2 linked regions of the Kluyveromyces lactis genome follow. The protein of the gene in region 1 binds, or shares a complex with, the protein of each later gene. Links are inferred from orthologs where the notes say so. Each region holds a gene or a part of one and is shown on either strand. Other genes may lie near its edges.

Region 1 (2,486 bases):
AACGTCTGTTGTGGTGTTTATTTCCCTTTGTATACTATATTGATAAATAACATTTTCACCCCAATCTTAATAAACAAAACAACTAATATCAATATTGCTTTCTTATGATGTTGCGATAAGTCTTTGGTTATGGAAAGAATATATTAAACCGAATTTCGACCTGCAATCTGCTGAAGAGGTATATAAAATTGTATATTTATGAAGAACCTCTTTCGAAGTGAAAAAAAAAAGCCTAGAGATTTCATTATGGAACGGCAACATATGACTTCATCAGCAGGTATTATAAGCAACGCTTTGTCCAGATCTAGGGAACTGTTGCAGCTAGAAATATGAGAATAGGATAAATAGAAGGGAAAACATATCAGAAAGATTTCAAATACTGCTTCGGTATATATCTAGAGCAAAAGGTGTGGAAGAATAGAAAATAATAGCATCGTAGACATTCGACAATGCATTTCATCTTATCATCACTTCAATATTGTTATTCAGGTTCTTTCTTTTAGATCATCTTTTCAACAATATCTGGTTCAAAATTGTGCATTAGTTACTTGTTTTGCATCAAGCAGAACAACCTAATGGAATCATAAAAGAAAACTTAAAGGGAAGAAAGTTTAACTTAATCTCATTCCTCAGAAAACAGGGCATCGTCACCAAAAGTGTTTTCACTCGAATAGGATACATAAAGGAACCCGTCCTTATCCTTGTGTTGTTGGTAAATAGAAGACATTAAAGCTGCTGTTGGAGGTAAAGTATCATTGACAAAGATGAAAATAGCCTTTTCAGCAGGTAGCTTGATTCTCTTTCTAATTACATAAACAAATTGGCCAACAGTCAAATCTCCTGGCACCAAATATTTGCGTTTATCAATGTCTGGAATATCCGATTTGCCACCTCTTTCACAGATCACTGGAATACGGTTATGGAACTTTTGCACTATCCTTTCAGATTCAGCCTTTCTCTTTTCAAATGGGAACTCAGATTTGAATGCAGATTTCATTGCGTTTTAAAACTCTCTCCTATAATACGTAACACCGATAAAAATAATCAAACTCTCTTGAAATATTCTCCTGTCTCTATTTCAAACTAATAACCCGAAAAGATGTTTGTAACTTAACTTTCAAAAGTCTAGCTGATTTGTTCCAACTCTTGAATCGTGTTGTGTCTCTTTTTATCCGTCTTTCTGGTTCTTTCTCTCTCTCAAGAAAAAAACTTGCACGTAATAGCACTGTACTGCACTTTTCTTGCAAAACTCAAACAGATTACTGGGTAGCTAAGAAAAACGCTCTTTGTTTAGTTATCGATGATATGCGCCGCTTTGATCTTCGCGTGTGTTCCCTTTTTATACCCTTTCTGCTGTTTGGAAAATGACAAAACAAAAGTGTTCCCCCCTTAAACGGTTTGAGATGCCGTTGACCCTTAAGTCACGTGGGAAAGACAGAAAATGAATCACGTGATATCCGGGTAACAATACTATGTACGTATATATGTGTGGAAGCTGCTGCTCTATATGCTAAAGCCAGATAAGGTTTCCTCGAGCTCCTGTTGTTCTTGCTCCATCAAGGATTCGTACTCTTCCTGCAGTTCTATCAGCCGTATCAGCTCTTCATCCTCATTTAGCTGTTTTGGCTCCCTCTTTGTGGAAATATTATTCAACATAGCGGGTTCATCGGCACTATTCACGACCTCTCCTTCATCTTCTACCAGTCTATCAATCTCATCTGGCGGTATCTCGTGTTTCTGTGCTTCTTGTTGCATGTCTTGCAAGTGTCGTAGGTATTCTTGTTCCATGACGAATTGTTCCATGTCGTTTCTGTAGCTATTGATCTTCTTCTCTCTTGCCAGTTCCCGTAGTCTGCCCTTCCTTCTTTCTCTCATAAGGTCTCTAATGGGGGACGATGATGATAACGGTTGCTTGTACCTTTGATATTTGAGCTTTCGCTCTTCCAATATTTCATCAGTGATATTAGAATCGGCTCTTCCATCGTTACTTTGGACATTGTCAAGATCGGAATCGCTATCTTCTTCGTGATATCTGCCATGAACCGGACTGCTCGGTATACAGTTCATGTAGAGCTTCAAAGTTGTGGATTAACGTCTGCAATACACCGGACGGCCTGCTCCAGGCTTCTTTCCCCAGCGTACATAGAAATAACCTTAATCCTTTTGGCGTTTAATGATGCTGGTCTAGAGATATGGTTTTTTGTTCGATTAACTTCATAAACTGAAAACGCCTTAGAATTACATATACACATTATATTCGAAATAAGATATGAGATCGACTGTTGCTAGAGAATCAGCAGAGGTGATCTACGGAGCCAATAATTGCAATTAAATTAATTAAATGTGGTGAATTTATAAGTAGTACGGACGGGTTTCGTTTCACTAGAGAAACGTAACTGCTATACATTTTTTCCCACTTTATATACATTTCAACATCTATAATTTGAAAATCTTCAACTTGAAGATGGTATCGTTGATAGATAGTT
Region 2 (3,427 bases), on another chromosome or scaffold:
CGTTCCCGAAGAGCTTTAAGACTGCAACGTCTCTTTAAGCCTGCCAACATCGTGAATTATTATCGTCCGATAGTTAGCATACGAGGTTGAAGTCTGGAATACAGGTTAGGTTGGTATTAATGACAGACAATTTACAATCCCCTCATGACGTCTCCTATCAAGAACCAATGAACTTCTTAAACTTTGATCTTTGTTTTCTTTTAATTCATCTAAGTTTTTCATTTTGTGAATGAGGATCTTTTACTAACATAAAGTAAGGGTTTAAACCTTGAAAAATGTCACAAGCCTGTACAGTAAACAAAAATAAAATACACAACTTATCAAAAAGTATCCTGTCTAAAGTGACATAGATTGTGATAGCCTATATGAACTGGGATACTTAGTTGAGACAAATCACTAAATGAGAAACCTTGGGAATAAAAACAGATTGAAATAAAGTCTCAGAATTGAATATTGTGCTATTGACATTTAGGGACTAAAATTGTATATTGAAGGCTCAATCTGAAAACAAAAGTTGGGCAACAATTCATACTTTTGAAAAAAACAACATCTAGTTACATCACTACATACACCAAATTGCAGCATATAAACGTACCCCGGTTCAAAACATCACTAAATCCAAAGCAGTGACTTTTGAAATGGTACTCTGCGAGTCAGGTTGCATGAATTCTTTACCAATGGATTGAATCCAAGCAGACGTCATTAAATGAGCCGAAAGAAACTGCTTTAATAATTCATTGATCTGGATAGCAGTATCCTTAACTAATTTGCACACTTGACCCAAGAAATCAGAAATTGACTGCGGAGAGCTTTCCTCAAGTATTGACGGTGAATTTCCTTCTATAGCGTCAACAATAGCATCGATCTCCTTATCTGCTGTCTGAATAACCCCAACTGATGAATTATACGAGGAAGTCTCGAACTTGCTGAAATAAAAGGTGACGCAACACCCAATCCCAACGCCAAGCGCTATAGATATTGGCCAAAACCACCATCTTTTTGCAAGATGAGGGGCCGGCTTCTTTTTTGCACCTTTTCTTGGTTTAGTTTTTTTAGGTATATCCGTCTCATAGTCAGAATCTACTTCAACGTATAGAGAGTGCAAATGCCGCAACAACCCGTGTATCTCGTAATGATCGGATATTACCACAGGGTACGACATCAATTTTATTTTGTTAGAGTTAGCAAATGTTTTGACCTTTTCCGTGACGCTTTGCTTCTGACCCTTTTGACATATTGGAATCAAAGTGAAATCTCCGTATTTCTTCCACATTCTATTTAGGATTGTAGTCACTTTCTTTGAATCTGAAAAGATTATCATGAAAGCAGTATATTTCAATGCTTCCTCTTTTGAAGCTTCGTTGAGTTTTCCGACGTCAAACATTAGTCGGTGATACCGAGATAGACGGTTATAGAAAGAGTTAGCTGAGTCTCCATCGCTCAAAATTAAAATCTTGAATCTTTTCATAGACTCCGATAAGGACAATTTCGGCATAACAAAAAAGCTGCCCGCCCAAGAATGGCCCAAATTGACCATTATCGTCTCATCTTCGCCAGTGCCAGCACCTAGTTCTGCTTTTGAAAATTGACCAGTTTTAGTCGATTTAACTGGATCACCGTCAGAAAACTGATGGACTGTAGTTTCACTATTTCCCTGATCACCAAAACCTGTTGATGATAAAGGATAGGCTAGAAATTGGTTGTGCTGCTGAGAAGCACTCAAATTAGGCGAAGGAGCAGCATTAATTTCAACCTCTTCTTCAGAAGTGTCAGATGATAACACCCCGCCAAATTGTTGATTGAAGTCGCCATTTGAGGTATTATGATAGTTATTATGATTTCCAGCATTTAAAAAAGAATATTCATCCCGATCAATGGCCTGCCATGAATCTGTGAGTCCTTTACTATGAGTGTGAGTATTAATATCATTATGATCAATATTGTTACTTTTACCCTTCCTATCGATTAAATCTTGATTTTGGATCAGCCTGGAATCGAATGCACAGCTTTGCTGTCCGTTCAATAAATCCATAACTGAGTCATGTGGATCGAGAATACTGTGTCGCTGAGCACTACTGGCACTAACACCGCTGCCGCTGCTTCCAGCATCTAGTGAATATAACTGACGATTATTGTTACCAGGAGGTGCACCCCAGACCCCTTTAGACCCAGACATCTGTTAACAGAAAAAAATAGTAAAATATTCAACTGACCCTTTGTAGTGACAATACGACAAACACTAGCAAACCCCTTTATAAATGAGTTCTTAGCTCACTCTAAGACTTCGCGAAAAGGAGAAGAATAGAGTCCGAATAAAAATCAAAGATTATCAGTTAATCAGAGACAAGAGTTATGGCTGTGAACTATACCTCTTCAAAAGACCCAAATAGAGTAATCAAGGAGGAATAAACCCTTAAGAGCTTTGTAATATTAATAAATCAATATCAGCGTACCTTTAAGTAATGTAACAAAAAGAAATTTGAATACAAATCAGAGGGACAAAAGACTGGTTTAAGGTACAACAAACACAGACACGTTTAGAGGATCAATCAACAGATCTATAAAAATAAAAGTAGCTTCTCCAACTTTAGTTCAGCCACTCAACGTCAGAGCTTAGTAGGAAAAAAATCAAAAAAAAAATGCAGATTCTGATATGTGTTTTCTTCAGTGTGACAAACACTACACGACTCTTCTTTTGTGAATCTATGTGGTATTGAGTCACGGGCTGATGCTTGGCACTTGAAACTTAAAACTTGACACCTATAATAATGAAATAGTACCAAGCGGAGAAAAATACTAAAAAGTCTCCACTCAACAACTAATATAGAAAGCCTTATCCCTTCAGTTTACGCTATGGTGAGCTTTAGTTGATCGAACAAACGGTAAAATAGTTAAAAAAGATAACCACAAAGTGTGTGAAGAACGACTTTTCAACGGACGATCTTAAACCTTTTTTTTTTAATATATCCACTCTTGGCGATAATATATAATAAAATGCAAGTGAATGTTGCCTGATGTATATATATATATATTGTGACTATGCTAGAGACACTGTTGTAGATTACAAATCGGAGCAGCACACTGATATCGGTGCAAGCAACATTTTAAGATGACTTTGACTGAGGTTTTAAGAAAACCTTAAATGTATTGCAAGAATTTCAGTGGTCGCACACTTCTTCTATGAACAAGGGAGGCTAGTGAAGATTACCTGAGGAGAGACAATATTTTCCGGTCATTGTGTATTCACTATATAGAACATGAGTGCACTGACTAGCGGTTCATTAGGTTACGAAAAAAAACAAGCAGATTTAATTAGCTCTATTTGGGTCTTGCCACACCCGTTTTGACCGGGTTTACCCTATTGGCGCCCCTGCTTCCGTTATCTTTTCAGCTCTCATCCAGGAGCAGCAATCAGCGTTTAAGGTTT

What was found.
Region 2: the proteins of ATG8 (region 1) and ATG32 are in contact, whole or in part, in a crystal structure (PDB 3VXW), measured with the Saccharomyces cerevisiae proteins. The link is inferred for Kluyveromyces lactis from reciprocal best matches to the Saccharomyces cerevisiae genes ATG8 and ATG32. Residues at the interface, in NP_009475.1 of Saccharomyces cerevisiae: Glu17, Ile21, Arg28, Pro30, Val31, Lys46, Lys48, Tyr49, Leu50, Val51, Pro52, Leu55, Phe60, Val63, Arg67, Phe104; in NP_012120.1 of Saccharomyces cerevisiae: Ser85, Trp86, Gln87, Ala88, Ile89, Gln90.

Annotation. Positions count from the first base shown.
Region 1 is NC_006041.1:1,828,208-1,830,693, reverse strand, and holds ATG8 (ubiquitin-like protein ATG8), read right to left. Parts: upstream 998-2,486; coding exon 623-997; downstream 1-622. Other genes in the region: RTT105 (Rtt105p), read right to left, coding at 1,504-2,067; isoleucine--tRNA ligase ILS1, read right to left, coding at 2,437-2,486.
Region 2 is NC_006037.1:63,796-67,222, forward strand, and holds ATG32 (mitophagy protein ATG32), read right to left. Parts: upstream 2,177-3,427; coding exon 602-2,176; downstream 1-601. Other genes in the region: SLN1 (histidine kinase), read right to left, coding at 1-50. UniProt on the Saccharomyces cerevisiae protein: Mitophagy-specific receptor that recruits the autophagic machinery to mitochondria and regulates selective degradation of mitochondria.